2 linked regions of the Styela clava genome follow. The protein of the gene in region 1 interacts with the protein of each later gene in a pairwise test. Links are inferred from orthologs where the notes say so. Each region holds a gene or a part of one and is shown on either strand. Other genes may lie near its edges.

What was found.
Region 2: the proteins of ligand of Numb protein X 2-like (region 1) and selenocysteine lyase-like interact in binary tests that used the Homo sapiens proteins (3 or more experiments, as listed by UniProt). The link is inferred for Styela clava from reciprocal best matches to the Homo sapiens genes LNX2 and SCLY.

Annotation. Positions count from the first base shown.
Region 1 is NC_135258.1:3,214,031-3,231,205, forward strand, and holds the start of ligand of Numb protein X 2-like, read left to right. Parts: upstream 1-10,551; 5' UTR 10,552-10,999; coding exon 11,000-13,702; 3' UTR 13,703-17,175. Other genes in the region: uncharacterized protein LOC144411634, read right to left, coding at 3,527-4,678.
Region 2 is NC_135264.1:13,437,298-13,454,475, forward strand, and holds selenocysteine lyase-like, read right to left. Parts: upstream 6,825-17,178; 5' UTR 6,805-6,824; intron 5,974-6,804; 5' UTR 5,962-5,973; coding exon 5,823-5,961; intron 5,250-5,822; coding exon 4,983-5,249; intron 4,342-4,982; coding exon 4,214-4,341; intron 3,355-4,213; coding exon 3,205-3,354; intron 2,885-3,204; coding exon 2,654-2,884; intron 2,203-2,653; coding exon 2,106-2,202; intron 1,985-2,105; coding exon 1,755-1,984; 3' UTR 1,078-1,754; downstream 1-1,077. UniProt on the Homo sapiens protein: Catalyzes the decomposition of L-selenocysteine to L-alanine and elemental selenium.

The sequences.
Region 1 (17,175 bases):
AAGAGGAAAAGTGGAAAACAATAGGCCTTGTGCCAAAACTAAATTTGATTGTACTGTAATGTCAACAAATTCCTTTGAGTTATGTTTCAGCTAAAACATCAAAATTTGGTTTTAGTTTGGTTGTTGCAGCATCCAACGGCCAGATTGAATTACCAACGGGCCGGATTCGGCCCGCTGTTTGCCTATGTCAGGGTATATAGCTATGTCATCATTGAAGGATAGATATCCCGGAAAATTCCCTTCTTTATCTACCACAGTCGTTGAAAAGATTCCCATATTTATTCCCGACGAGTCGACAAAAGACCACGGCCAAACTTTTCTGCTGCCCGTAGCGAGTTTTGATATTGGTGCCCCTTATTCCTAAGTTCAGAAATAATTTTGGGGCTAAACAAATTATAAATGTTGTTGTACATAAAAATAAATAAATTAAAGGTCAAGAAAAAGTGGAATGTTTGTGTTATTTATGTTCAAAATTAAATCATCAAACAGAGCAACGAGCTCACCCTATAACCCCTCTCATCTTAACGGCTGATTCATTTTTTTTTGCCGTGAATGAAACATTGTAAACACAATAATAAATCGAGTCACATAGTATTACAGACACACTATGTTTGGCTGCAATTGACGAAGAGTCGCGAATGACAATCAAGTCATCGACACCATAATTGCTGATTTCAGAAGCAGATGACGTCAAATAATTTAATTATGTTGCCTTATTGACGAATTGACGCCACGTTATAACTTACTTCGAACAATTAGTGCCAGCATGCTTTTCATGTTGGGGGTTGTTTCCAAATTTCGGGGGTGGCAGATATCTTGCTATTAAAGATAAAGATAAAAGTATTTCTAATTTATACAAATGTGTTATGTAATTGGTATATACCATACGCCACGTTATGGATATTAAAATGCAATTATATTCAAATCGGGAGTTAAAGTGTAGTGTCACATCTTAAAAATAGGACAGGGTGTAGGGAAATCACCGATTAGTGCGAATATCGTTAGAAGGACGAATGCGAGGATGAGATCGTTGCGCATGGAAGAGTCGATAAAATTGTTTATATTGAGGAGTGGAAAGCCTACGAGACACCGTGGATATTAAACGGAGCAGGACCATTCGATAGGTCATCACATCAATTTACCATATTCTCAGACCTTGAAATACCTATTATAAATGCCCGAAACGAGTAAGATATTTATTATCATGACACAAATCTTGCCTAGATTTCTACTAGTTGTAAGGTTGTACTTGCAACAAATGAATAACTTCAAAGAGAAATTGTCGAATATTCCAATTTTTGATTCTCCTGAAAACATATTGTTGGTCACTTAACAATTGCAGTAGCCATGTTCCCCAGAGACAACTATTACGCAATTAATTGCCCGGCGAAACTTGACAAGACGGAAGAGAGGACACTTGTGCGCTCGCACCAGCGCAGGGTTATCATGACGTTGTGACCTTTTGCAGAGCTTCACTCAAACCGCAGTTAGTTATAGCTGACCGAATTCTATTTCGGATCTCTTGTACGAAGCCGGTTAGGGTTTGGTTGGGAATGCAGATTTCGCTGGAAATTTGAATTTTCAAATTATTCCCAACCTGGCCCGATCCCAAACTGCAATTTGTTGTTTTAAAACGTTTTTTTTTTTTTAGTCATATTTCACATTTGAGGGGGGGGGGTCCAGTGATGGAATTCAATTTTTTTGTCAGCCGGTTCCATCGCAAAAGTCATAATTTTCACCCTGTTCTGTTACAAAAAGGCATTGACAGTAACCAGTAATGCTAACCGGTTCGCTGATCTCATAAAATTCCGTGAGACGGTTCTAGAGAACCGGCTGAATCCCACCACTGGATGGATCACGTATTTCAACCCCAGACTCACTGTCCATCTACAAACCAATCCTATATGAACCGCTAACTATATAGAAAAATACTAAATAATTCAAAATTAGAGGAATTTATTAAGGCTAACAACAAACAAAATAAATTCGTTGATAAATACATTTTGAGAAAAAATTGCAATTCATTAGATTTAATTTATGAATAAATGTTTAGTATATTGGTAAACGCCAAACGGTTACTATTGATATAAAACTAGTCTCTAGGAATGTCATCCACAAAAATAGACATCAGGCTTTGCAAAAATGTTGGGATGGGCCTAGAGGTAAGATGGGCCCAAAAATTCCACTTGGGTATTAACCCCGACCCGACCAATTGACTGGATTTGGAGGCCCGAGCCCGAAATTTCATATTTTATTTATTAAGAGTTCTTCGAATTCCACACATAGTTTTAGTATATATTTTTTATAAACATATATTTATTTTAGAAAAAGTCAGCGATAGAGAAGCCCAACCCGAACATAATGATTGATATTTCAGGCCAGACTCAGCCCGAATTTTGGGTCGGGCTTCAGAACTTAGCTCTAGATGGGCCTATGTTAGCGGTAGTTCATGGACTCATTGAAGAGGACCCAGTAACGGACCGGTGGTTAAATCCAAGAAACTTTGGCGGGGAATCAAACAATCACATTTTTAGAATTGCAGAGCAAGGCTGGTGGAATCAACACATACCGTATTTCCCAGCGAATAAGTCGCTTTTCTAGACCCAAATTTTTGGCATGATTTTGGTGGGGGGTCGTCCCATCATTCAATTCGTACCATAAAATACCAAATACGTTGGACGATAGCATCCCCACGTTTTCATCATTGCCGTGTTGTTTTAGATCGGTAATGTTCTTATATGGTGCGCTCAATCACGAATTAGGTTGAACACAATTAGATTGAAAGACAGTTTGAATTCTCGTAGTTGTTATGGATTGAATATTACTCTACAAGAAAAAATCATCATAGGCTATTTTAACCAATGCGCAAAGGCGGCGATCGCTCAAAAGTCTCTGCATGGTAATTTGAGACTCTGATGTTGATGCGATTTTACTACTCGTCTTATTATCAGGTTATATGCGAGAAGCCATTTTTTCAGGCTCAAAAACAGGCCTCGTCTTATTCACCCCGTAGACTTATTCGCCGGGAAATACGGTAATTATTATTAGATTTCTAAAAATAAATTGCATATCTCATTTAAGTACATAATACACAATTTTGGCAACATAATTAACTTTGTAGAAATCAATTCGTCGGCTACTGGTAAGCTGATACAGAAGCTCAGCCGTAATAGTGAATACAAAACCAAATTATATATCTGAAGGCATGAACTTGGCTGGTGGAAGGTGTGTAAATCAGGGATGTGCAACCTTCAATACAGGAGGTCCAGATACAAATAACTAGGTGAAATCGTGGGCAGGCTTTCTATAAGTTGTGGGCACAAAAATTTTGGGTATTGATCTTATGACATTCAATGTTGGCTACTCACAAGCTAACTGTTACGTATCTATGGAACAAAGCAGGGTAATCAGTCATTAGTGGTATAATGGCAAGCACTCTCGTGACACTTAGCATTCTGCACCAATCATCGAAATTTATAAAAATAAATTGCACATTTCAATTAGTTGTACAATTATAGAGACATAATTAACTTTCTAGAAATCCATTTGCCGACTTCTCAATATCTTTCCAATCATATATTCTATTAACATCTTTCTCAAAAAAATCAAACATTCTTTCATCATACAGTCCAAATATACCACCAGTATGTACAAACAAAAATCTATCTCCCTTGAAACGCTTTCGATTTATATTCAGCTCTGAAATTAACCCTTTAATGCCTTTCCCACTATAGACAGGGTCACAAAATATTCCAGTGGCTGCAGCCAATTTACGATACAACTCGTGGTCTTCAGGAGTTGATATTCCATACCCGGCTCCTTTATAACCTTCGATAATATCAACAATGTCTTCCGAGCAGGTCTCACTGCTCAATCCAATTTCTTCAAGCATAGAATTAATATGGCCATGAAAATAGGCAGCGTCGTCACAAACGGCCACTGCATGAATTTTAAGTTTCCCCCCAGTGAGATAGTTACCGATCGAAATGCCTGCGATTGTCCCTCCGCTGCCACAAGTAACAATAACATCGTCAAAATTATCTTGCACTTTTTGATCTAACAATTCGTTCCATGCATTGAGGTAGCCATGTAAACCCACACTATCCGAGCCCCCAACACAGATTGGATACGCGGGCTTTCCAGTTTTCTTTAAAATAGCTTCAGCTAAAGCCTCTTGTCTTGGTTTTAACTCTGTCTCGTATTTAGCACGTTTCGGTACTAAATATACATTCGCATTGCACATTTGAGATAAAAATAAATTCCCACTGCTTTTTATTGCGTCAACATCTTCCTCTGATCGTAGCAACAGATGCGTTTCTAGTCCAAGTTGAGACGCAGCAACCGCAGTTGCACGACAATGGTTCGATTGTAATGCCCCACATGTGATAACAGAGCCACATCCTTTTTGAATCGCATCTGCCAGTAAAAATTCCAGTTTTCTTACTTTATTTCCACTCAAAGCAGCTCCAGTCATATCATCTCTCTTCACAAATAATTTAACGTCCTCAGGTAGTCCCGGAACTTTCCAAGCATGTATGGGTGTCGGTGTTAACGCCAGTGCGGCTCTATGTGTTGGACATTTTTCCAGATGTTTGCACCATGAAGGCGGACTGTATTTGTATATTTCATTATAAGATACTCTACTCATTGCTACTAAGCATTTAAAGCTAAATTTCATCTGAATAAGAATAAATGAAATAGGTAAATATAAGTGCAATTGTCAAGGTTTGAACTAATGAGATTTTGCAGAGCCTGAGGCGAAATAGGGGAACACACACCAAACTAATCTCTGATCCAGTGCTTGTCAACCGAGTGTATAGTACAGGGGTTCCCAAGCTTTTTTCAGGACGACCCCAAAGACAACTTTCAAGTGTCCAGTGCGACCCCAGGTCAATATATATATTTTTCACGAAACTTTAGAGCTTCTTTCACTGGACTTTTGAGTTTGGTTATGTGGTGGTATTAAGTAAAATAAGCTAAAACCAAACAGTGATGTCATAATAAACACCTACATTTTCAATAACGAAAGCATAGAGCGATGCCTATAGGCCTGTTTTACATTAAGCCATGGTACAAACTGCTAAATTTAACATGGTTTGTCAAATCTTAGATGAGTTGTACATCCATCCTCTACCATACCTCAGCGACCCCATGACCTGGTTGCGACCCTACCTATCACTTCGACCCAATTTGGGGTCGCGACCCCTGGTATAGTTAGTAGTACATCACAGGGTGTACTATGTAGATACTCCTAATGTGTGGAGCACTGGAAACGAGGTTATTACCTCGCTCTGCACAAATGAATTGTGGAATCCAAGAGCAACATCCACATTAACTGAATAATAAATTATTGCATCAATATAAACACACCTTCTAAACATTGAGTTTTTATTTAATAAAAATGTTAGATGGGCAGGGTGTACCATTCCAAATGAGATAAATGAGCACTGCTCTTATCTCATCTCTAAAGTTCTGAGAGAAAAAGATGATTTTCATAAAAAACATACCGTATTACTTATTATACCAGGGGTGTGCAACCTGCGTGCCAAAGCAGCCTACAAGAAGCCTTGTGCGGCACGTGGAGAACAGCCAACTAACAATCACGAACTAAAATTTTGAACAAACTTTCCAGGCCACAATATGACTCAGATCAATGGCAAATTCAAGGGGGTCAAGCGTCAATTCCCCCTTATTGAAATGTAAAAAAAAATTTTTCGGTATCATACATCGCATGCACACTAGTACATACACAGCACCCTAGCTGATACGATCCAACTGAGAAATTAGAAATCTCAGAACCCCCCTCAAAACTCCTGGCAATGCCCCTGGCTCCGATATTCGCGGCGTAGGTATGTTACCAAGCTTTATGGTGACTCTGAAGAGACTAAAAAATATTTTATTTACTGTGAAATATTCATACTGGAAAATATTCAACAAGCTTACTATCCCGATTATTCAAAAATGGAAAACGAAGGCATTATTCTAGAGAAAAATATAAGGGATGCCATAAGCCCATAACATTGCATAAAATCTATGTTGCCTGTAACTAGAGAGGTACAAAGTATGCTGTTCATTAGCTATTTTGTGGAAATGAAACTCAAAAAAGTGCAGATAAGAATACAAGTTTTATCAGTTGATAAGATGAGGCAGAAATCATAAAAAATAATGATAGTACACAAATATTGATACACGATTATAGTAATACAAACACCTAGATTATAATAAAAATTCATTACTGAAAATATGAATATATAACCATAAAGAGAGTTGATTAGGATACTAACCATGATTTAGTGCAATAAGTCATGTATTGTTTTTACATTAATAAAAAAAAAAATGCTCGGTTAAACGTGAAGAGAATAAATCTCACCAAAAGTAAGGAAATTCATCAATTGGGCCCCACTGGCAATCAGTATCACTCAATACATACTCAAAATAAAGTTCAAATTTTTATCTGGCTTGTGGGAATCGAACTATTAAAAACACACTGAATCATAGTTTCCCTTGAGCAGCCAGTTTTATTCGCAGACTGTCTGGCATTTCTGGTGGTGGCGGGCGAGGTAAACGGAAATAAACTTTCACTGAATCATAAATAAACCACTGAAGGGCAGTGACAGTACCAATCATGATAATACGAGCTGTGAGACCTTTCCAAATTCCGACTGGCCCTAATTTTTTAAGAGCATCAAGTGGAGAGCTACCAGCGTCATTATTAAGTACAGACACAACCGAGTCAGGAGGATGGGACCCAATAGCGCAGAGTACACCTGCGATGTAACCAGCGACAAACGTAACAACCAGCTGCTCTGGCTTGCTGCATTCATCTCTCGGTTTTGGCACAACATACTTGTACATTGCCTCTACTGTTCTCTCAAAACAAGAGAATTTGATCATGGTATATGGAATTTGCCTCATCCAAAGTGGAGGTAAACCTTTGTAAAAGGCAGTAATACCCTCTTCTTTCCACATTTTAGGAAAAGCTTCACGTAAAGTATTTGCAAATCCTGGCTGAGTTTGAATTCGTACTTTACAAGCTTCCATCGGTGCCAAAGCTATATCGGCAAAAAATTCAGCAGAAGCACTTGCCGCCAAATATAAACTTGTTCTCCATAAATATGATTTTTCTTCACCCAATAAATTCCCATAAAAATTCTTAAAAACTTCATAAAATCCAAATTTGCCAAGTCCTTGCATTGAATAACCGATAAAAGTAGGTGCCCATCCTTTACCTAGGCCTCGAATGCCTTCTTCTTGTATAGAGACTCTAAAACCGCTGATAATCCCCCTGTATTTATCTGGCTCAACTTGTATTCTGCATTTCACCAAATCAAGAGGAACCATGGCAGTATGAGTTAGACCACAACTTAGAATCCCTCCGAAGCCACAGATGGCATAATATTTTGCCGATCCAAATTCACAACTATTGCCAGTTTCCTCTACTGATAGTATTCTTGTATCTGCAGGAACTTCAGAAAGTTCTGTGAATTTTGCCTTTTCCTGGCATATTGCTTTCATATTAGGCATGCCTAAGACATTCCCATTTAAAATTGAGTTGACCATATCTTTATTCCTGTATTCCGTATTTAAATACTGAAATACCAATATAGAAAAAAGGATAGATGTTAAGTTGAAAGGCAAACATAGGATTTTCATATTTATCTCAGCGTAGAGTGAACTGGAAAGTCAATAAGATTGCTGAATGTTAATCCAGTACCGTAACCATAGGCAAAGCAAAGTTTAAGGTGCATGTCATTTACTGTCTCAATTTCCCACAACTTTCACAAAAGGTTTCCGATTTTCTACAAGAACAACCACACAAACAAAATAACAGTAACTCTGTAACTGAGAATAACAGAAACTCTGTAACTTACCGTAACATAAATGTATGAGTATCATCGCCACTTATATATCTGTATATGCTGCCGATGTCTTCATTGTCTTTCTATATCGCCTTATTTGTGCAAGCCTATGATGTCATTCTGATGTAACGATGGTGCAATTTTGATGACGCGCGCCATTACGTCCTAACATACGTCACGAATTAGCGACGGTACTTTTCAAGTTCTTGGCGTTGAACAATTACCATAGCAGACCTGGGAGAATTGATTACTATCTTTGCTACACGACGTTCTGAACTTCTGACTAAAATGAAGTGCGGCTATACACGGATTAAACGCTATATGAAGTGTAAATACATGAGATTGCGACTGGGTAACGATAGTAATACACTTACCAAGGTACGGATGATTACGATACTGTAATTCACGCGTTTCGATTTGAAATGTAATTTGTTTCGATGGTACAGTATTATGCATATATAATAATTACGTATTATACAATATTTCACACTATCCAACACGGAATAAGTCAATCAATCAATCAATCGTTTATTTTGTCATCACAAAAAAACACGTTCAAACATAAAGTGACACGAGGAACTTATATGGTTTTACATAAGAATAGTGGTTATTATCGACGGTTACATATGGCCAATCCTATATATGACCCCCACAAAATTCTCAGAAGGCTGAAAAAGTCACCGTGCGATTGCATTTTGTTAAAATCACCGATTGTTTTTATCAGTGGGGCGTAGGCCGTAAACACCTTTACGTTTTTTTTTTTTTTTTTTGCCAAATTCAAATCCATTGCCAAATTGGATAAACCAAAACTATAATTTTTATAAAAACAATTTTACGTTGGTATTTATTCTCCTAAATCACAAATTGTTGTTGTTCCAAGAGCAAGATGATGATTGCTTTTTCGCACGGAATTTTGAGTAAACTGTAAAAAATGAGTTGTTATAGTGTATTCATCAGCGATGTGATGCTAAAGATGATAAAGGGTAAATAAAACGAAGGGAAACACAATGAGTTTTGTTTTAAGAGATCCGCGTAAATCGCACAATTTGTTTGGCTACCGTTGAAAATTTTTCAGCTTGGCAATATATTTTTCATAAAAGTACTGTTCACTCCCATTTATAAAATCGATCAATTCGGCAGTGGCAAACATTATAAATTTATTAATATGGTGTGGCAATCATGGATTAAATACTTTGCCCGTTCGGGATTTTAACGCAGACGCTTGGGTTTTTCCAACGGCGATATTTCAAAAATAATTTTGAGTAGCAGTCAGCGCTGAAAGAGAATAATTCAAAGTTGACACATCCCAAGGTTGCAAAAATTCGAATCCATCTATTCATAACCGGGTATAGTGTATCGCGTATTACATGTCCACAAATTTTCATAGTTTTTTAGAGTAGTCCTCCCTTTGTTTTACCGTAAGTCAACGCAAAGGCGATAATTATTCGCTGAAAAAATGTCTATTTTAAAGACTGGAGTAATCACGGCACTCGATTTAGAAGTTATTGCACGGGAATTTTTGAATTCCCATTTTGGAACCTACCTCATCATCATTCTCCCCGCCCCCCCCCCCATCATTTTTTTTTGTAATTCTGGCTACACCCCTATAGGGACCCGACACTCGAGTTTTTTTTTGTGCGAATTTCGTTCATGTAACGCTGGTCGGTTACGGCTTTTTCTATCATCAAGTCCACACATCTGAAAACAAATAACTGGCTTACTAATTCTATACCCGACAGGAACTGGTAGCTGGGCAAAAGGCCTCAAGTCAACTTTCTCATCTCTTGTATATTTATATTCTGTCCTAAACGATTTCTTTATGCACGAAATCGATGCTTGGAAAAACATTCATCGTGTTTGTCTGCTTTTTGAATTTATTTTTAATTTCGTTCAATCCCTTGGAAGCATTACTTTCATTATTGCTAATTGTTTTCAAATCTTTTCAGAGCTTTTCGAAAAATTTTGTTGATTTTGAAAAAATGTATTTTAAATACCTATATAAACAAGTTTTGTCTTCAGGGTTCTAGTCGGGACTGAAAACAAAGAACAGTTTTCGAATTACATTTTATTGAAAATTAACTTTATTGGAATAAAACTAATACAATGAAATATATTATAGTGAAAACAGGGAAGGGGAATTCTGATGTTATTTCAGGTTTCAGATAGTGCGCACGTCCGTCTTCCCACCGTTGATTTTCTACATTGTATGTACAGGTGCAAATCTTGTGGTTTGCGGCCATAACCGTATACGAAGTCGACATCTTATAAATATAATTAATAAAATTTAGCAAGTCATCGGCTGTTTTTTTTCCGCAGTGGAAAGATTATTTTTGATAGGAGTATTGTGAGAGGCGTGGTTTGGTTGATGACTTGAATTAGGCCTCAAGAGGTCGTGTGTGAGTCACCGAGAAATTACCTCCTCCCACGTACGACTCACAAGTTCGCCTTTTAGTTCAACATGGTTCAACCGCCTTAGTTAAGTTTTCTTTTTCATATTTGACTTCAACCTTCGAATCAGTAGACCCGGCAGATTTATGTAACTACTAATTATATTTCTAGAATGAGTACATATTGATGGTGTGTATTATGCAGTGTAGAGCAGACTATTATTTCCTTTAATGACGAGGAACACTTGAAGTTACCGGTATCTATGGATTTACATTGTTTACTTAGATACCGGTACCGCGATTGCGCGATACCGGTACCCCTATAAATAATGTTATCTGGAATGGCTGCTTATGGGGTCTGGTGTAGTTTAGTACCACATGTACTTCTAATTGGCTTGTGTCATCACTACGACGTTACTGTGACTTATCAAGCCCCTCCTGAACTAGATACAATTTATGCCAGTCCCACGATTTTTCAGTTTAAAATTTTTATTTTTTTTTAGTTGTGTTTTGTATTTATGGTATATTATTTCACCAATGTCTTTCATCTTTTTATATCTAACCATGGATAAGAATTCTGATATTTATTTTCATGTTTCTATAATTTGGATTGTACACAAGGAATTTAATTCTTGGTTGTAAGATAGAAAAATAAACGTATAAACATTTGTCTTTTTCACATCTTTCTAAAATTAGTTCCAACTGGGCTGTTTATTTTTTTCAAGTTATATATTATTATTCAGTAATCGTATTATGGAATACTCTTATCAAGCTCCTGATTGCTTGCCAGGACAGAACGATCTTATAGACTTCAGCTCAGATAGCAGCGTGGGCGTTCATAATCAAGAAGAGGGGGGTGAGATCGAATCCTCCAGTACTTTGACGAAAAATAGAAATCAAATTAATAGAGATGTAGTGGCTGTTAAAAGTGGGACTGGGGATATAGGGTTCGTCGCTGTCGGACGGCCGACCTCAGAAAATTCGATCTCAAAACAAAAGCATCGTAAAACACGATCGAACATCGAAAAAGAAAGCTATCACTCAGATTCGTCTCCTCGATGCCCTAGTAGTGGAATTGATAATCTCGGATACCAAACAATTTCAAGAAATGAATCGTATAGTTACGATGACACAGGACTTAGTTATTGCTCTGAACTTGAACGATGGGGAAATACTGAATTTTTGAACACAAATTTAAGTTCGTCTCAACCGGAGTATGTTTCTGTCGAAGGGGAACGTTATACTACAATCGATTATTCAAACGCTACTATCCAGCATGTCACAACCAATCAACCACGTAACGATAGAGGAGGACAATTTGTGGAGCTTCCAGAAACATCTGGACAGCGTACGCAAATTTCTGATACAAATCGATCGTCTCGTCAAGGACGTCAAACACCATCTAGTGATAGAGAGTCGTCCTATTCATCGCACTCGTCTCGTGGGAATTCACCAGTTGAAAACGAACCTAGTACTGAAATGAGGACATCTAGTGTCGAGAACAATGTAAACGAAACGACTCACAAAAGCACATCACCTGTACCTAAATCACCACCGTTATGCAAATGCTGTGGGCAGAATCACGGTGTTACGGAAAATCATGAATATAATTACGTCGACGAAGTTGATGAAGACCTGATGTGTGATATTTGTCTGCAACCACTGGTTGATCCCTACGATACAAAATGCGGACACACGTTCTGTTCTATTTGCATCAAAAATTATTTAAGAGTGAAACACATTTGTCCAGTAGATAGAGAAGAATTAACCAACACAGCAACAGACTGTTGGCAGTCAAGTCTAATTCTACGAAAACTAGTTAACAAATTAACAGTTACCTGTCCGCATGAGGAATATTGTGATAAAAAAATACAGCGCTGTGACCTTAAGGGCCATTTAAAGGAAATATGCCCAGGGGCCGTTTCACGGTGCCCTAAATCGATGTATGGCTGTGATCATAAAGGTCCAAGAGCTGGTATCGAAGCGCATTTGAAAATTTGTGCTTTCAAGGATAACAATGATAAGCTTTCAGATTTGCACCCTTTTTCGGAAGAAGTTGTCGTTGAATTGTTTCGACCAGAAGGTACAGCTGAGCTTGGATTGCTTATAGTCGGTGGTAGTGATACGCCGTTGCATTATATTATTGTTCAAGATATTTTACCGCAGAGTTTAGCGTTTCAAGATGGTCGTATTCATGTTGGTGACATTATAATGGAGATAAATGGAGAACCAATGTTTTCAGTAATGCATGCTGAAGCTCGTGCTGCGCTTACGAAGCCGTCTAATTTAATGAGGTTTATGTTGTTACGAGATGTGGACAATGAGGACCCCAGTGACAGCGTTGCTTCTTTAGTCAGAAAACCAAGCTCTTCTGCATATTATGAGGAATGTGTTGGCCTCATCAAACCTCCGCTTGAGCAGCTCGGGATTCGTATATCTTCTAGTGAAACCGGAGCGAAAGGTGTTTATATCATTGAACTAATCCCGGGTCAAGTTGCGGAATCGGACGGTCGTCTTCAAGTCGGAGACAGAATAATGAAAATTGGGAACACCGAAGTCGGTGATAGTACACCAGAACAAGCTGCTAGAGTTATCGGAAGTTGCGATAAAGAAGTAAAAATACTAGTTCGCCATCCGCTGGTTAAACCTACTATAGTCTGTAACGAATGGGCTCATGATTCAATAATACAAAGGCAGAAAAGTGCTTCAAATGATGCATCTACTTCAATGTCAAAATCCACGAATCCGTATTCGCCGCAGCAAAAGAAGTTGTCAAAATCATCCCACACGAAAAAAATAATTTCTGTCACAAAATCACCAAAGGAAAATTTAGGAATCATTGTTTCAGGAGGAAATGGGAGCCCTCGTGGAAATCTACCAATATTTGTTCAAGATGTTCTTTCCATGTCAGTATTAGGTAAAGACAAGCGAATACGTCGTGGCGACCTCCTTTCAGAAATAAACTCGATACGTTTAACTGGTCTCTCTCACACTCAAGCAATGAACGCATTACGGGAATCAGCTCAGCAAAGAGAAGTTACTCTCGTTGCTTACGAATTAGAATATGAAGGGAAAGCTGAAGACACAGCTTTATGGGATGAACTGACTTCTCTACATCAAAATCCAAGTAAATGGGCTCCATCTTGGAAAATGTGGCTCGCTGCTACACATGAGTTTTCATCGATACGCGAGGTGGTTTTACGGAAACCTTCTTCTACAAATTACGGATTTAAAATCACGGGAGGATTTACAGAAGAACATGGGCCATCCCCGATTTTTATTACGCATATTTCCAAAAATTCAAGCGCGAATAAATTCCTGAAATGCGGGGATGAGATTGTTGCAATCAATAAAAGACTTGTGAAAGATATCCCTTATCTACAAGTCCTAAATATTTTGAAATCTGTTAACTGTGTTTCGATAAAACTTGTATCATGGCCTGGTAGTCTTCATTAGAACTCTTACTTTTTTTTTATATTTTATATTGGTTAGTACACTTGTTCTTTTGTGCCATTGTTAGCTGTGATATTTATTCATGTAATGGTAAGGATTGCAAAACAAATCCAGAATTCTGCATTGCCAATTCAATTTCTTTGATTTATAATGATTTCTGCTAATTCTATGGTGACATTACCAAATTTAGAATTTTGATGTTCTTAAAAAAATATATTTGATTTTGGCTATCTCTGAAAATATAAGAGATACTAAATCTGGTAGAAGTTAGATCCTAAAGTTACATGTTAGAGACTACAGGTTCAAAACTCCGCAGAAACTTGATCTGATTTTAATACCCGACACCCCACCCATGAAATTTTAGTTGCCATTGTGCTTACGCTATAGCAGGCTAAACGAGACAAAAGATTTATTCGCAGAAACTGTTTATGGTATTTGAGGTTTTGTTTGGCTGTGGCTTGTGAGCATTCTTTGGTTGTGTTAGTATACAAAGTTTCAAAGCCTGAGGGCCAAAAAATGAGCCTAATACTTGAATCTATACAGGTTTAGGTTTATTCAATTTAAAATTATTGACTTTAAGAAAATTATAAAATCTCTGAATACCATAAAAAATCAAATCATTGTTTATCTTACCTATCCTGCATTTCCAAATTCAAACTTGTCGAATATACACAGACTACTATATGTTTCTATTGCATATTGGAAAAAAATAATTTCCGAATACTAGAAATTTGGTGTCGGTCACTCACGGTTTCAAATTTGTGAACTTCTACTATGCAGTGTGTAGATAGAACTTGCCACTTTGAGTGGATTGTTGAGTTAAATCAATGAAAATTAAATATTTCCTATCACTGGTCATGAAAGGGCGCTCCTAAGAATATTTTTGTAACATTTATGTGAAATAGAGGAAAACAACATAAAATGAAGGAAACATCATTAACTCTGTTTGGCGCCCTTTTCCTCAGTTTCAAGTTGTTGTCTATTTGCTGTATTTCGTTTTTTCAGTAAGTAATAAGATTCTACGAGTACCACCAGACAGTACCAGTATAGCACATAAGACTTTATTATCTCTATCTCCCCTGGGAAGGTATTTATAACATTTATGTGACATGTAATGAGTTATTGACTAAAATAAGGCTCATCCTTCTCTACCATATGTTACCTTAATTAATTGTATCATGAATAATTTAAAAAGGAAAATTGGATGTTGTAAATAATGTTAACAAAAATGTTTAAAGCAACTAGCATTTCACTGTTTCTTGACTTATGATTTATTTAAATATGGACACCCTTTTGATTGGATTTATTTTTCCTTTTATAATTTTTCTTTTGCTATATGCTATTCCTGTTTGTTTTGTTCCTGCTTTCGTCTTTATTTCCTATTCTCTCTCCACTTCATAGAACGGTGGTTTTCAACCTTTTTGGTACTTGCAACTTACAATTTCTGCATATGAATTCGTTGTAAGGCAATATGAATAACTAATTGAAGTAAGACTAATACTGGGAAAATAAAATGACTTTTAAAGTGTAGCAAGTTTAATTAATAATAGTGCCAAACCTAATAGCTATATGATTTCCATTGAATCATGGTTGAAAACCATTGCTCTACAGCAGGGGTGGGCAACTTCTCTAGTCGGCGGTCCAGATGTGGGAAAATGAAGTCCTCGGCGGGCTGGATTATAACATGAATAGTATTCAATATCTTAATCACATATATTTATTCGCTAATGCAAGAAAGAAAATTATAAATCGCGTTTAAAGTAAGGTTTAAACTTTACAAAAAATAGAGACCAAAAAACCAATAATGAATTTATCATTGTGTACTAAAAGTGTAATAATGTAATATTATAATGTACTGAAGTTCAGACAGGGGGCCGGTCAAAATCTTGGCGCAGGAGGACCCGGCCCGCGGGCCGTATATTGCCCACCCCTGCTCTATAGAGTATTATATGAAGGATCTCTCCTCAGCATTTGAGCTGGTTATATATGATTATATGCTTGATTTTGGGAATGAATTTTCAGTTATAAATTTCTTTACGGTATTATTTTTATTTATCCTGCCATTCTGCTATTTCTGACTTTGTTTCTCTTATATTATACTATTCTCCTTGCTTCATTTCTTTCAATAAATTTTTTCACTGCAATTTATAAGTACTTTATATTTATATTAAAATTGAAACTCAACTTGTAGTTTCCCAAATAATTTTTATGAGGTTCTATCTATCCATATGTTGGCTGTAAGCTCCCATCTGCTTACTGTGTGCCATGTAAACAGGACCATTTAGTCAATTTACAGTATATTTGATATTTCTTATTTAAAAATGCTATTTTAAAATTTATTCCCAATAATAAATTATTTGGTTCTGGACATCTCTGCTTCTAGACCTACCTATAGTGACACAAATCAAAATTATCAATATCTCTCGCATTTTTAATAGATTTGTGGCCCCCGGAAAATGTGGGACATGGCCCATTGCTGAGCTACAACGCTTTCAGGTAGGCCACAAGCATTTAAAATCGCTAGAGATGTTAGGAATTCATTTTCATTTGTGTCACTATAGTTAATTTTGATTGCAATGGCAGTGTAAAATGATGGGTCATTCTATCCTGTAATTAGTACTAATTACTTATCGATCTTAAGATCGGTAAGTATGTTGATAGGTATTTGTCTGTCTGTTTGTCTGTGTGTTAGATGCACGCGATATCTCACAAAAGCGAGGTTGAATCCGCTCCAAATTTTGCATGTGCATTCATCATAGCTCGGATCAGAAGCCTATTGATTTTGGATGGATTATGTCTTATAATTAGCGAGTCATTAAGTAATTAGTGATGGGACACACGGTGTCACTATGGAGTAAGACCACTGTTTTGCGGGATCCCCTAACCTTAGATCGATACGTCTTCGGTTTCTAACCAGTATTCTAGTTTGACAAAATTATCAATGGAGATACTAGCACCACAAATTTGACTATAATTATATAAAATTAATTAATGTGTGTGTGATCCTAAAAAAATTTACTGCAAATATATTGCTTAGAAACTTTGTGAAAAGGTTTGAGTTCGATTATTCGGCGCCATGGTCAAGACATTGAACTGTGTTGTATTGGCATTACATTCGGAAAAATGTCCACTCATGGTGTAATAAATTGGCCAAGCAATGCAGAACGAAAAAAAATTCTGCCATTAACCATAGCAGGTCCTAGCTCAGCAGTAACTGTTTGTACTAAACCTTGTTTAAAATGAAAGGCGTAAAAGTGTTGTTTAAATAATATATTTTGTTAGAATCTCGTTGAATTTGACTTTGAACTTTTTGATGACCTTCAGATCAAAGTGCTAAAATTAGTTACCACCGTCCGGCCCACTTTGGTCTGTTCTATTCCATTTATACAAACTTGTAAAACATGAAATGTTATTTGCTTTCCAATCATGTCATGTTTTTTGGATAAGGACAGGATTCAAACATCAATTTTTTTAAA
Region 2 (17,178 bases), on another chromosome or scaffold:
CGAAATCTAATTTTTGGCAAATTTGCATTTTAGCGTCAAATCTAATCGATCTGAAAATTCAAATTTCACACAACGAGTCTTTCAATAACGTCACACATTGTAACGTGCGTGAAAGGAAGAAGGCAACATTTGTTCACAATATTCAGAAATATAATATATATATTTACTAAATAAGTTCCGTACTCCATTTTGACTAGATTCAAGAAGATGAATATATAATTTCTGTACCGAAGGATATATAGTGAACTGGTTGACGACATTTTAGGAACGAGCTCGCTAATAATGACGACATTACAAGAACGAGTTCGCTAGTATGACGACCCTATAGGAACGAACTCGCTGATTATGACGACATTACAAGAACGGGCTCGCTAATTATGACGACAATATAAAAACGGGCTCGATGATTATGACGACTTTACAAGAACGGATTCGCTCAAACCTGAATCGCACCACAGTTACATTTTTTCTTTCCAACATGGCATTGGGCGCCGCGTTGGCAAACTAGTTGAACTATCTTTGCTGAAGTCATAGCTGACAATTGGTTCTATTCCGCCGCTCATCAGATCAACTCGTCTATTAATTAGGTCTAGTTGAGAATGCGGCATACAGCGCCATTCAAAAGTTCCAATCGAGCATCATATTATACTTTTGCAGCACATCGTTTCTCACGCGCTTTGATATAAAAAGGCATTTATAAAATGAAATCTCTAAACGGCCATAAAATTATCGCTGTGAAAAGTGCCTATAAACCGCTATCTTTGCTCTATGCAGCAGCATCCAGCGTTTTGTAGATACCTAGGTGGTCCAAAAACACTTGGGCATCAAGTCCAGGTATCTCAAAAAACGACTAAACCGAACAAACTGATAACCGGACAGTATAATTAAACAGCCTCATTAACTTTCATCTTCCTTGGGATGAATGTGAAAATCCTAATTTCACTCAAATGAGAACTTTCTTTTCACAGCAATACCGGTACTGACTAAACATAAGTCTGCTAGAACCTAATCACGTTACATTCACAGACTCGACAACTGTATGTAGAAGATTCACGTCCAATGCATGGCTATACACAATTCTATTATGGTATTGTAATATATATTTATTACAATCTATATTGCACTTAATAAAAATAAAACTTGTGATTTTGTTCCTGTTATAGGAAGAATGAACTTTTCACCAAAGAGCATTCATTTAAATTCATTGCACGAAATTTCTAAAGCACCATTCACTTGAATTTGAAAAGTAATGAAAATTCTTGAACTTTTAACAAAACGGTCCATTTACTATGAAATGCAAACTTTAAAGGTTTGTCCCAACTACAGCATTCACATGAAAATCTTCTGAACACCCAATCGGACAAGACAGCAATGATAAAACACACATGGCCACCACAGTGAACGCACATTTTCAGCCAAATGCAAAATAATTTAATGAAAGCCAAAAGGAACTGTATCCACCATGAATGTGCACCCTTAATTATACAAAGCAGCAATTAGAAAATCTATAGGGCCCATAATTTTCAGAGAAATTATACAAAAAATAAAAATCATATCCTTCTGACGACTCTTTCCATTTTATGTACTAAAAATTTAAACAAATCATCCATTATTTGGAAGAAAAGCAATTTTTAAAAAACAACGATAACCACCCAAAAATGGTCCAAAACCAAAAAGTCCAATAAACTGCCATGACCACCACAATAGCTTCTGACAGCATGTCTGAAATGCATTGTCATAATCTATAATTGTGACTATATTGCAATTTCAGATAAACTTGAGATTACATCTTTGAGCTCCTTCACGACAGCGTCAATGTCTTCCTTTGTTGTGCTACGTCCTGTGGATAACCTAATTGTGTTAGTTGCAATATCAAATGGAACATGGAAATTCAAAAGTACTTGTGACGGTTTACATTCATTTGAATGACACGCTGAACCAGTACTGCAGACGAATCCTTTGATATTTTGAAGTACTTTATATCCTGAAATAAAGAATCAATTAGAATGAATAGTATCGGCCCATATATACACTTCGTGTCATACTGATATATTGGTAATTTATAATGGGATGCTTTTTCAGCCTTTGTTAAGAACTTCACCTACCTTCCATATTTTGTCCTATAAATGAAACACTGGATGTGTTAGGTAATCTTGGTGCTAAAGAGCAATTCAATTTCACTTTACTATCACCAAACTCTGCCTGAAAAAAAGTTTGTATAATAAAATGAAACATGTTTAATACATGATTCATGCTACGCCTATGAATAAAAAATACTGATACAAATTATGTAAAAGGTCGGATAAATACTGATGAGTATGCAACATCACAAATACAGTTGTGATATTATTTGCCCTTTAATAAATGAAGGTAGGATTTTTTTATTTATCTTGGGGGAAGGGGGAGGGAAGCTGATAAAACATGGTATAATCATACAGGAGACCAATGGTATTCATCTGGCTACCGGTCCATCTCAGGTTAGGTAATAGTTAAGATATGCTCCTTGGAGCTATAATAAAGTACAAGACATCAATAGTTCCACTTTATTCAAAAATGTAATTTCTAGTCCAAACATCACAATTTACAGACATGGTGTTATTCTTTTAACAATCTACAGAACAGTTATATTGATAACTAAAAAAAAACAATATACCAATAATCGTTTTTCCAAATAATCTCTGATTTCTCTCATGTGTTCAGAAATAGATTTCAGATCATCATTTGCTATCATGGCTGCTTTACCAAGTCCGGCAATCATTGGAGTGTTCTCTGTGCCGGGGCGATAATTTCTTTCTTGAGCTCCACCGAAAAACAGTGGGTATAATGGGGCTCCACCCTCACCAAGTCCACGTACATACAAAGCACCAATTCTTGGCCCATAAAACTAAAAAAAAATGATCCCCATTACAATATATGTTGTGATGCTGAGATCATGTTTAATAAAATTAAAAGTTTCATATTTAAATTAATTATTAATCAAAATTAAGCATTTAGAATAGAGCCTGTTATTGCCCTTCAACTAATTTTCTTATCTTCCTTACTAAAGCAAAATGAGAAATACCATAATGTGACCATAAATGTGGCTGTCGTCATCAAGCACGGCCATATAAGATCTTCTTTGAACTGTTTAGACATAAATCATTCGTTTTCAGGGTTTAGTTAAATCTGTAAACATTCACAACACAACAATATAATTAAATCTACCTTATGTCCAACCAGTGTTAAATAATCAACACCCAAGTCTTCTACGTCGACTAATATTTTTCCGAGAGCTTGCGCAGCGTCTGTATGTATTAATGGTCTCAATGATTCTGACTCCATAGCTGAAATTTTTTCACTTATTTCTTTGATTGGCTAGAAATTATAAAAACATAGTCCTTGATAACTCATAGGTAGTAGATGTGTTTAGTTAGTAAATTTGAAAAATAGAAAAAAAGATGGCTTAGCGGTTGAAGCGTTAGACTTTACTGTGTTGGCATCGCATATTACACATCTCGAGTTCAAACCTCATGCACTCCACCTCACCCTGGAGTTGATAAATTGGTTAAGCAATGCCAAACTAGAAAGATTCTGGTCCTTGCAAATAATAGTAGCATATCCTTAGAAATAGATGGCTGCTATGGTGTCTTGTTCGGATGAAAGGCATGGATAAGCGCCGCTTGAGAAAAAAAACACAGCACAGGGATACATCCAAAAGCTGACTGATACTGCAATTTCATCCCTCTTTTTGACCAATGAGTTTAATGTAGAGAACATTTTACAATATTTATAATGTAAGTGTAAGTAGACAGATTAAATGAAGTTTTTGCCGTCTAAATTTTAGATTATTATTATGGGCTAACAATTTTTATAAATCATAATTGAAACTGCAGTGGGAGAGAAAATTAATTTGTGTATAAATGTAGACCAATAATAATTTAAAAATATTAAGATACGATTTGAACCAATCATCCCATAAATGAAGATTTCTTCCCAAGATCATAGTTGGCAGAGCAAGAATGAACGCGATGTCCATAAAGTCAAATTTCAATTATGAAGTCAATTCTGAATATTGTTGTTTTTTTATTCAGTAAATGTTTTTAAGTATTTTTACTTCATTCAATACATCTGTGAGGACCAAAACAATATATGGTTTCAATAAGTTCCCTTTGCAATTTAAAAAAAAATTAAGACACTATGGACACCCTATATATTTATATATATTAGGACCCACCATAATGACTCCAGTTTCATTATTGGCCATCATAATAGTCACTAGGCAAGTGTTGGGAAGAATTGCATTAACAATATCATCAACTGTTACACATCTACATTCTTTATCAACAGGCACAAACGTAACATCTGAAATAAATAACAATATTTCAATTTATAATTATAAAATTATAAAAGTGAAAGATTAAAAAAAAGAAAAAAAGATATATGTAACAATTTATCACTTCCACAGTTTTATATATGTATTTAACATGATGGCATAACAACTCGAGTAAAATACAAACGAGAATTATATAGCATTACTCGTTGTATAGAATTAACAGAGATCCCATCTAAACAACTCCAACCTTCTGATTTGCGGTGATTCATATAGTAAAAATTTTTGAAAATTTGCATTGAATGAGCCAACTATGATTATCTACAATGAAACAAACTAGACAAAACCAACATTAAATCCCAAATAGTACTTCTAAATTTGTTAACAATTGCCAAGTTCAGAAGTTAAATCAGAAATATGCTAAGTATCAGTGGTTTTTTATATAGATTATATAGAGTAAATATTGTGAAGCTATTCAAATAAGAATAATTCATGAATAACAAATACCGAGGCAGATGAAATACATCAGCGATTCCCAAATTTTTTGTCTGTGTCAGTTATGTTTAACACAATTCTGTTAATTTTTGCAGCGCACCTTTTGGGAACAGCTGACATACATGATGAATGTAAAATAACTCGATAAAAATTGGATGAAACCCATTTTGCAGAATACCTATTTCTCCTTTGTCTTTTAGATTGATCAGTGGTAATGTCACAGCATCATGTTCAATGGTTGTCGTGACGATGTGAGGTTTGAGCCTGTGTTCTCCTTGGTGTTGAGATTTCACTTGAGTTCTTTCAAAATGTTCAATTGCTGTAGCAATGACCCAATTGTTAGCTTCTGTCCCTCCAGATGTAAAAACTATATCTGATGATTGTGCATTGATTGATCTTGCAACTTGTTTTCTTGCTGTTGTAATCGTGGCTTTTGCTTTTTCACCTGCATGATTAGGAACAACAAGAAAGCTTAGACACAATTAGGGGCTCGTGTAGTTTCGTACCTAAAGTACTTCTAGTGGGCGTAGCATAACAATTTTTGAATATGTCGTTCCTAACCCCCACCTGCCTGCGCCATCCGAAACGAACGACTATGTCACAGTGACGTGATAAGGCCATTCGAACTGTCATCCAAGACGCGAAGACGATCACCCGAAATCGAGCAAGATATTCTCTTGTTTTCTCGTCGCAGCGATACGAGCGAGATCACTGTTGTTACTGAGTTCTTCATCGTCAGCGCAGTTGCCATTTCGGTCGATCGTAGGTATACTTTGGCAAGTTCTATGACATGATTGTGACGTCGTAGTGACATAATTTTTGTATGGCATAGTCAGGGGGTTGTCATGCTACGCCCACTGAAAGTACTTTAGGTCTGTAGGTACAAAACTAAATGAGCCCTCACATGAATATATGTAAAGATATAAACTCCAGCCTCCTGACTGTTGTTTTGAAACGCAAGGCTGCAAGGCCATTCAAAATTTTAAAACCATACTTCAGTACTTCTATATTTTCTCACCTTCAGGATATGAACTGCTGGGATTCCCCCATGTATTTTTCAGTGCATCTGTAATTGTCTCTAATACTTCATCTTCTAATGGAGTAGTTGCATTATAATCCAAGTAAATTGTGTTACTGATATTGTTTTTGACGTTCATCGCTACCTATGTCTGAATATGTATCCTAGCTATCAACGATACATATCATGTCAAGTTTTTTTCTATATAACAATTTTTAGGTCTGGTGTAATTTCGTACCTAAAGTACTTCTAGCGGGCGTAGCATAACAATTTTTTCACATGTCAATCCTAACCCTCACCTGACTACGCCATCAAAAAATTACGTCACCACGACCACTAGAAGTACTTGTGGTAAGAAACTACACTAAACCCCAATTTTATTCTCAATTTCTCTATATTTCTTCTTGGGATATGACAGTATGACGTGCTCAATATTTTCGGAATTTTATAAGCCTGTTTTTTTTCTATATATATTTATTAATATATAAAACACAGTTGATCAGTACATCTACAACATTATTATTCACTAATCATAGAAAATACGGTACACAATCATAATTCATCATATAAGATAATCAATTATTGTGCATACATCTTAAATTTTTTGTATGCAATGTATAGTAACAATATTTCTTATTAATATATAAAACACAGTTGATCGGCACAGTTACATCATCACTAATCACAGGAGTTATACACGTATAAATACCATCATTTCAGCATTTATTGTACACATATCTTAAAATTTTATAAGCTTGATCATTCGGGGAATACCCCACGTGCCATCTGGCGGCCTTCTCATATAACCCCAGTGCATGAGTTTTCGACCTTTTTCTGCTCGTGTGCCATTTTGACTAAAACGATATTAGTGGTGGTCCATCAAACTTATGAAATGAAAATTACAGAACGACAACAGCAAAAAAATTTGATCACCGCACGCTATTAGGTAGGAACTACCTTTATCGAATGTTTTGTTCCTTACCTGATCGCAATGAACTTATTGGACACGTAGTGGACATAGCGATCGTTTCAATATTATGTTGTTGTTGTTCTTAATGTCCTTGTTCTTTGACACGTTTTGAAGAAATCGCTTTTCGTTTTGAATACTGGACCAATTGCTTTGAAATTTAAAGTGGTAGAAGGCTATTACTTTTATTCATTTTAAATATTTCTGTTAGCTCTGTGAGATTTGTTTTTGTTTGCTATGACGTCATTAAACGTTCTGCGGACGCCATTTTGTGTCCTACTGTACTGCTTCGCTTGGTGTGAATATATTTGTAGACTGTGATCTGACGGTACGGTAAACCGTACTGTACTGCGAACAGACGTGTCCATATATTTGGGCGTAGCTCTCTTGTTTTATTGAAAAAGCTCCATACTCGTACTTATTTTTGCGGTGTGATTCCCTAGCCTAGTCTTTAACACCATTAACAACTTGTATCACATAGGAATTTGAATTCACTATTTTCACACAACGTTTTCAATACAATCGAAACGATATATCATATTTTACTTCAACCAAAATAATGACCCCAATTTATTCAAGTTGGAGTAAATGTTTCTCCGCTGTTGAGCCGCTTTCAACTTTGTTGTACTGTACGTTTTAAAACTTAACCAAGGTTTTGTTTGCTCTACTGATTTCATAATCGGTTTTTATTTTTTTGTTTTTATAAATCATTTACCGGTAATCGTCTTTTATGCTGATTATGGAGTCAAAATAAACTTATCTTATCTTGTTTCGATAACTCTGCCGTTTATAAACGGGCTCCTTCCCATGTGGGGCACGGGGGCGTCAGCACGTTGTGAAGGTGAGTTTGTTGCTTAGTTTAATGATTTAAATAATAATACAATAACACCCAGGTCGCTTAATTAAACCACACTGCATGGCTTTCATCTACAATATGCCGATCATTTGTGACGCATGCACTAAACTTCAAAACACGAATATATCAAATGTGTTTACTTGAAATTTACCACGAATGTAAAACTTAAAGATACCTAACCGAGATTAAACTTCATAACTTTCATTAAAGTAGCAAGACAGTTTGTACTAATACAAATATACAACTCGTAATTGAATAGATAAGATCTTAATATGTTTTCAATAACAATAAATCAATTCGTTTATTACTCCAGACCGCTGCGGTCCATATAAAAATAACACAAACAGCGACATCATGATAAGAAGTTGAATTTTCTAACCATTACAACCATCTACATTTATTCGACATTCCTATGCATACACCATCCCCGCAAGATCATGTATTAGTCAAACACACGGATGTGTTTTCGATTTTGTTCTAAACACAAAACAATCCAATAAATAAACCTATTGTTCTCTGATTAAAACCATTTTAGCTAGAAAGTTCGTTCCGAGAAAGCGATGAGGTGTGGATAATAACTGCAAAATCATTGGGTACTAATTATTTTTATTTTATTGCCTAGCCCTAGTCATATCATAACCTTTTTTGACTTGTGGCTCCTTTCCGGGTGCTTTTAGCACTCGTGCGTTTGTTATTACAGTATTTATAATGTTATTTTTAATGGTAGATTTCGATTCCCATTAGGTTCAAATAATTCAAGCTCAACAAAGTGAAAACACCATGGGAAATAATATTATCAAGCAATCAAACTGAAAAGAACGGGTTATTTTCTTGTGAAAGGGAAATCAGTTTTGTGGTAGCACTGTGGCCTCCACCCACCCACTCCACCCACCTACACCTTCTTTTCTACTTTTGCAAAGAAATCACTCAAATTTGAATGTGTTATGTCTGTCTCGAGTTTTACTCTTCGTAGATTTTTAATTTCTTTTTCAAGCTGGATCAGAGTCTATAATATCAAATAAATTAAAATAGCGCTGTTATGATATTTGCTTACGATACAACAACTATACATATTTTGTATATCCTTGCGATAAAAATGCAGAAAAGGGATTTATATCCCATTTGGACTAGGGTACTTGCTTCCACTTATATGTTTACTGCACCCTCAATTGGTCCTTTAGTTAAGAACAAAATCAGGTGTTTCTGGCTGCCTAATATGTTTTTCTTTTATCACTTTCAGCGAAAATAATAAACCTTCAAAAATACGTCAATTAACAAATACGTATCACACTTTATTATAAACATGGATAAAGTTATGGCTTCCATCAAGCTTCAGACATCATCATAATGGAAGACGGAACTCGAATAAAATCCGGAATGAAATTTGCAAGTTTCTTGAACCCGGATATGTGGAGCATGACATTCAACTGGAAAATACTATTCGGAACAATACCTGGATAAAAAGAAGGTGTTAAAAAGCAATATTTTTGAGGTCGATGATTAGATTAGAATCCGTCCAAAATTATATTCCTAAATCACATATCCCGCTCCTTCCAACCAAACATGTGTTGGCAGTTTTCTTTTGTAATGGCTACGAAGACCGTTTTGTTGTATATACTTGTTGTTGTTAGAATTTTTCTCTCTAATTACTGGACCAAACGACTTTTTTCATTCAATTTTTAATGTATCCTTATAGTATTATGCGCAAGTTGCACTACCGTGTTTGTACAGCTTAAGTACAAGCAGTTGTACTACAGTAAATACTATTAAAAAATTCTCCCCGTTTGGTAAACCTTGTTTTACATAAAGAAAATTTAGATTAAATATTGGAACCTTTTGGATCTTTTTATTCCCTCCTAACCAGTGGCGTAGCATCCACCCCCGCAACCCCCGCGGTCGCGAGGCCCACAGCGCAAAAGGGCCCACGCGGTTAGAATTTAGAAATTAAAGCCGCAAAACCAAAAGTTGAATTGAAAAACCAGTAAGGCACATCTTATAACGTTGGTGTTAGTTCTGCTCAAATCGTTTTGTTACGTAGCAATGCCAGGGAGTCGTCGATTTTCGGCGTCTTTGGGTTTGATCGCACCGCCAAAATTACGAAGGTTGTCAGAATGATGTCGAAAGCAAAACCTCTCAGTGGCTCACAGAAACGCAGGAAATGGGCAGAAGGGGAAGCACGTATAAAAAAAAATTAAAGTAACCAATATAAACGGCAAATTTTAGGTTACCATTGCCTTTTAATAACGACATGTTATGCTTTTCGACGAAAAAAAAAACGTTGTTTTAGCTTATATCCGAGAGTTTTTAGGATTATTTCCACGAAATATTTTTGCGGGGGGGCCCACGAGAGTCTTGCTACGCCACTGCTCCTAACTGTGCATAAAAAATATGTGTTTCTATCATAATTATGTTGATGCTTTAGGGATTCATATTTAGTCAAGCTGTGCCTGACAGTTGAAAGTAAATTGACAATTTCTTTATCGAGTAAACACATTTGATATTTTCGTGTTTTGAAATTCAGTACTTGCGTCACAAATGATAGGCGAGACATATTGTAGATGAAATCATTCAATAAACAATAAATAAACATGCAGTGTGGTTTAAAGAAATACTTCCTTCCCAGGGAGAAATTTCGTTCCTTTTGGAAGAAGGTACAGAGGCTTGACTGATATTGTTTCAGGTATTTAGCATTATTTCATACATATTCAAAATACTTAAAAGCTAGCGTGTGGCGTTACACTAAATATGAATCCTTGAAGCTTCAACATATAATAGTCTATAAAACTCTCCTTTGTTCTTAGTTCGATTGCTCGACATGGTTATTTATTTCACAGGGTGTTTTCACTTAGTTGAGCATGAATTGAGTTTGAACCTAATGGGATTCGAAATCTACCAATAAAAATTAAACTATGAATACTACTGTAATGACAAACGCACGAGTGCTAAAAGCATCCGCAAATGAGCCACGAGCCTTAAAAGGTTAGGACCCAGCTAGACAATGATTCAGAAGACTTTGATTAAAACGAAAAAAAATAGTGAACAATGATTTTGCAGTTATTATCCACACCACACCGCTTTCTCGCAACGAACTTTCTAGATAAAATGGTTTTTATCAGAGAACAATAAGTTAATTTATTGAATTGTTTTGTGTTTAGAACAAAATCTAAAACACATCCGTGTGTTTGACTAATACATTAACTTGCGGTGATGGTGTATGTATAGGAATGTCGAATAAATGTAGACGGTGGTAATGGTTAGAAAATTCAACTTCTTATCATGATGTTACACATTCTTATCACAATTACACATTATTTTTGCAATATTCTTTCGTGTGACATTGCTATAGAAGCTCACTCGCATGCTATATCAAGTTTTTTTAAACCTTGTAATCTTAAATTTAGTCGTATTTGTGTTTTTGGCAATGCATCAATATTTCTCGATATAGTTGCAACAAAATTTTTATGTAACATTTTTTATTCCCACTAATATTGCACCACATCACAACCGTGCCAACAAAAAATCTATCAATTTTTCTATTTTTTATAGAGTGTTGTCTTGTTTTTCCTCTGATCAGTGTTTGCGTAATTAATTCGATTTATTTAAAGTTATTGCCCGATTCTGTATAGTGTATTTTTGTTTTATTTACTTTTGTTATTTGACTGTTTTTTATGAGGACGGACGCGTATTTTCACGTTTTTAACTTTGTCTTTAAGTTATGCCCGTCCTCCAGGTCCTCTACGTTTTGTCACTTTTGTGTTTGTTCGTTTGTTGTTGTTTTGTTTTATACCAGAGCGACCGAAATAAAATTAATTGATTGATGTACAGTTATGTACATGATAAGATTCAAAAGGTGTCAATATCTAATATAAATTTTCGGACCTCCTGAAGTATGCGCACCAAGATGGCGCACAACCTGAACACAGGTTGTGTACCAGGTTAGGGTTCAGGTTATGCGACGTCTTGGTGCGCATACTTCAGGAGTACCAAATTTTCTTTATGTAAAGCAAGCTTTTCCAAACGTGGAGGAACTTTTTCATAGTATTTGATGTAATACAACTGCTTGTACTTAAGTTGTACAAACGCGGTAATGCAACTTGCGCATAACACTACTAAGTTTACATTAAAGATTGAATAAATAAAGTAGTTTAATAAAGTGAGAGAAGAATAAAAATAGGCGAAGGGAGGATTGTAACGAAAAAGGTTGGGAATCACTTATGTAACCATCGTTTCTTCAACATTTCTCTCGTTTTATTAAAAACCATGTGAAAACCAGTGAAACCATTCAAACGAGTAAAGGAGACTATAAATTCTTGATACATCGAGCACGGAATATTAGTTTGCTCGGTGGATAGGAAGAAATATTGCGATACCGCGTCGCACTGTAATTTCCATGGTTACTTAGACAGTGTATTACTGATTACAGTATGTTATTGATTTTTTTTAACCGAAATCTTAATTCAATGTCATTTTTCTTATATCAACATAAATAAAATAAAAATTTCATAACGTAGAGTTTTAGAATTTTTTTAATTTATTAAATAAAATTTGTCTGTTTCTATGGCAAATTTTCAATAATTTGAGTTCTAACACTTCAACGATTAAGACACCGCGCCCTTCTTTTGACATAAAATAAAACTCAAATCGGAGGTATTAGAAACTGTCTGAATTTCATTTCCTTCTGCTCCGGAATTTAGGTAACAGTAAAGTCAGTAACTGAACTATATAAGACTTATTGGACACGGAGTGGATATTTGGGTCGTTTTGTTATCATGTTGTTTTTCTTCTTCGTATCGTATTGAAAAAAATCGCTTTTCTTTTTTACTACTGGATCAGACTGTATTTTTCGATAGAAGACTATATTCAAAAAAGGGTATTTTTTATTTCCGTACTACTCCGTGCCCATATATTTGAGCATCGTTCTCTTGTTTCTAAGTAAATTTGATATCAACTGGGCGAGATGTTGTGCATAAAATTCTCTAATAAGAAACATTACCGTCCTGTTTATATTCTTTTATTTATATTATGTATTAACTTACTTGTTTCGTCTAAATTTAAGATAAACTAGCTGAACAGTTCTAAGTCACAATGAAGATATTTCTTGCATCGATTCTGCTGTTGGTTGCTGTAATCTGTGTGTTACTTGGTGCCACATACGGAAAGATCTATGGAATACGTTAGTTTAAATTTATTTATTTACCAAAACCCTAAATTATTTGACAAAAATTACAGCAAAGTTCTACATCAAATCTATTTATATTAGCATGAAGATTACTTCTATGCAAAATGATAAACTAAACTTGATAACAAAATTTCAATCTGTATAAAACTATAGGAAGTTACTAAACGACATACTCTTATTCAAATTAAAAATCAACTGATATCAGATCAGCTAAAACTATCGATTACTAATTTTTCTGCATTACCGATATTTATCTTATTGTTGTGGTTGAGTTCTAATGTAATTCTAATTTATATTTAATGCAGCATGTCGGGAAAACGGTCAATGTGTATTCGGCCATCATTGCAATCCATCAACGTGGTTATGCGTTGAAGGTAAATTTGTAATATTATTACCAAGTGGCTCAATTTCTATAAACACCATCAGTCAGGGTTGTAGCCAGGAATTTTCAAAGATAAAAGGGGAATCTGAAATTCTTATTCTCAAGTTAGGCCATATCAGCTAAAGAAACTAAAAACGCGGGTTTTCAAGGGTTTCGACTCAAGAGTTTGAAGGTCTAGAAAGCGTTTTGGGCTACTATGTATGATACAGAAAGATGCTTTTTCACATTTCAAAAGGAGGCTTCCGTCCCTTATCCTCTGCTATTTGTCCAAACACCATTTCGAGGCCATCGAAAATATCCATAGCCGAATGCAAATCACTTTTCTACAACACAATTGGTTCATAAACTCTACCACAAGTTTATCATTGTCTTTCAAATTTTTGTGTGTTTCCGTGTCCATTTAAAATCCAAGCACAGATTTCAAACTTTATTAGTTTTGTTATTTTATTACAAACCTTTACCGATGATATATATATCAGCAACAGAAACATTTACAAAACTTATTATTTCTTTCCAGGGAGTCAGGGATAGGCAACCCATGAGTCAACGGAAAGAAAAATGAATTCGACAATCATTTGCTAAATATAAAGTAATAAAATATTCTGCAGCATTCGTAAGTTTTGTATTTGGAGCATGTCAGCATCTTCATAGAACAGCATTAGAATATCCAAACATCCATCCATACGGATACTTGTGCGTTTTTATAACTTTCGAACGTTATATATGAACGCACTTTGATTGATTTAGTATAAATTGTATGGAAAACAAAAACGGAATCTGGAATTACCTTAATTTCATTCGTAGAAGTCTAAACACAAGCGCCATGCTATATATGTGCCAATGTTTATAAATCCATTTAAAATGGCCTGATGTGGTATATATATCAGTGATTAACATATAACACTTGGTACGCCCTGGGGTTTTCTATACACCCGGTTGACGAGCACTGGTTTAGAACCCCCCGAACCCGAGACGATGATGACCAATCTAAACTCACAGTCACAAAACTATATGAAAACTACTCCACGCTACCAACGTATTCCTATCCGAGGCTTCCAAGCTCACCCGACAATCAATATTTTATAATGATGGCCCACTATACTTGACATCCAAAATAATTTGGTAAATTATAGGTGATGTTATACATAAAATTAGATAGCCCCCCCCCCCCAAACACACACCCCGCACACACAGACAGACACGGGAACGCGCCCGTTTATATACGACAGAGATATCGAAACAACGTTGAAAGCCGACATAACATATTAAAAATTGAGTGTTTTTTTTTTACAAAAGTAGAAAAGAACTAGACCTAGGGTTCCCAATCGGTACCTACTAGGGGAAGCAGAGCAGTGGGTGGGGTGGGGGGGGGGGGGGGGGAGGACACCATGCTGCCACAAAACTGATTTTTCTTTTGCAAGAAAACTCCCTTGTTCTTCTCAGTTTGATTGCTTGACAAGGGTATTTCACACGGTGTTTTCACTCTCTTGAGCATTAATCGTTGGGACCTAATGATATTTGAAATCAACCAATAAAAATAACATTATAAATACTACTGTAATGACAAACACGAGTGCTAAAAGCATCCGGAAATGCCACAAGTCAAAAAAGGTTATGACTAGGGCTGGGCATTTTCAAATATCTGATGATTTCAGAATCGAATCGAATAATTATTTTTGGCCCCCATTCTTGAATACTTGGGAGATATCTAAGTATATGTAAATTTCTCATTGTATTGGGTCTTCCAGACACATAAATTACTGAAAACATAGAATATATCATTCAGAATACAGCGTTCACACACAATCAAAACCACGCTTTCTCCAATACTTCATTTATATGTCAGATTTCCGTTGCGAAATTGAGAAATTCACCTCGACCATTGGTGGAAAGAAAGAAACAAAATGGCGGCGATTCGAAATTTGGCTCTGAATCGATTCTAATAATTACTATTCGATTCAAATATTGAATTTGAAATGCCCAGCCTAAGTTATGGCCCACTGAACTAGACAATGAATTGGAAGGCTTTACTTGAAATGAAAAACAAAACTGATAAGAAAACAAGGATTTTGCGGTTATTATTCACACCACGTCGCTTTCTTGGAACGAACTTTCTAGATAAAAGGGTTTTAATCAGAAAACATGAGAATTACTTATTGGATTGTTTTGTGTTTAGAACAAAATCCAAAACACATCCGTGTGTTTGACTAATACGTAAACTTGCGGTGATGGTGTATGTATAAGAATGTCGGATAGCAGAATGTCGTAAAGGGATTACCTAACCGCTGGTCAGTTACGACTTCCTCCCCCATTAAGTCCATGTTTCCGAAAACAAATTACTAACTAATCCCTTAGCCGACATGGAATGGTAATCGGGCGAGAGGCCGTGGTTCGCCATACGGTTAAGCCGTCATATCGGCTTTCCTCTTCTTGGGATAAATATGTAAATCCTATAACATGTGGCGGGCGGGGGAGTGTCAGCATGTTATAAGATTGAGTTTGTTGCTTATATTGATGATTTAAAAATAGTAATAATACAATAATACCCAGGTCGCTTAAACCTACCTAAAGGCCGCCTTCTGTTGGTGAATATTATTCGGCTTTCCTTTTCCTATTGTAGTATGACTCGATGTTAGACTCTTTTATGGGTGACGCTGCTCGATGACCATTTACTGGATTACCATGGTACCTTCATACTGATATACAGTTTTCTTCCATTTTACTGAATTCTGTTCGCACATTTTGTATTTTCGTTATGTGAAAATAAACTACTGGCTCACTGACAAACATTTCACTCTTATTGACCTTCAGTTTATCATACTCATGTACAACAACGCCTATAATCTGTTTTCTACCCACCTGAATTATTTTGGAAGTCAAGTATAGTGGGCCATCATTATGAAACTCGCCCGTTACCAAGTGTATGCCACTTTTAAATGGATTTATAAAGATTGGTACATATAAAGTATGGCGCTTGTGTTTATAAACTTATGTACTACTTATGTCTGACGTTTCCTCTTTGTATTAGAATTCTACGAATGAAATGGAGGTAATCCCAGACCGTGTTTGTTTCCCATACAAATTATACTAAATCAATCAAAGTGCAAAAATCGCTTTTCCCAAAAAAGGAGGACGCGTTCATATATGACGTTCGAAAGTTATATACAGACGTACAAGTATCCGTATGGATGTTTGGATAATGTTGTTCTAATACTGTTCTCTGAAGATGCTGACATGCTCCAAATCCAAAACTTACAAAATGATCGAATGTTATTGCTGCAGAATATATTATTAATTCGTAATTAGCAAATTATTGTCGAATTTATTTTTCTTTCTAGAAAAGCTTCCCCAATGACGCTGAAAAGAAAAAAAAAGTTTTTATAAATGTTTCTGTTGCTGGTATATCGGTAAAAATTTGAAATAAAATAGTAATAACTAGATAGCGATCGGAAACCGCCGACTTATCGATCTTGCGGTTTCGATTCCTTCGCTCTAACTCCATAGCGACACCACGTGTCCCATCACTAATTAATTGATAACTCGCTGATTATACGACATATTTCATCCAAAATCAATACGATTCTGGTCCGAGATATGATGAATGCACATGCAAAATTTGGAACATATCTCGCTCTCGTGAGATATCGCGTAACATACGAAAGTGAAACAGACAAACAAACAGACAAATATCTATCAACATTCTTACCGATCGAGATCAATAAGTAATAAAGTTTGAAATCTGTGCTTGGCTTTTTAGAAAACACCGAAAAACACAAAAATTTGAAAGACAATGATAAATTTGTGGTGGGGTTTATGAACCAACTGTGTTGCATAGAAGTGATGTGCATTCGGCTACGGATATTTGCGGTGGCTTCGAAACGGCGTTTGGACCGATAGCAGGGCGTAGCCAGGGGGTAAGGGACGGAAGCCCACTTTTGAAATGTAAAAAAGCAATATTCTGTATCATACATA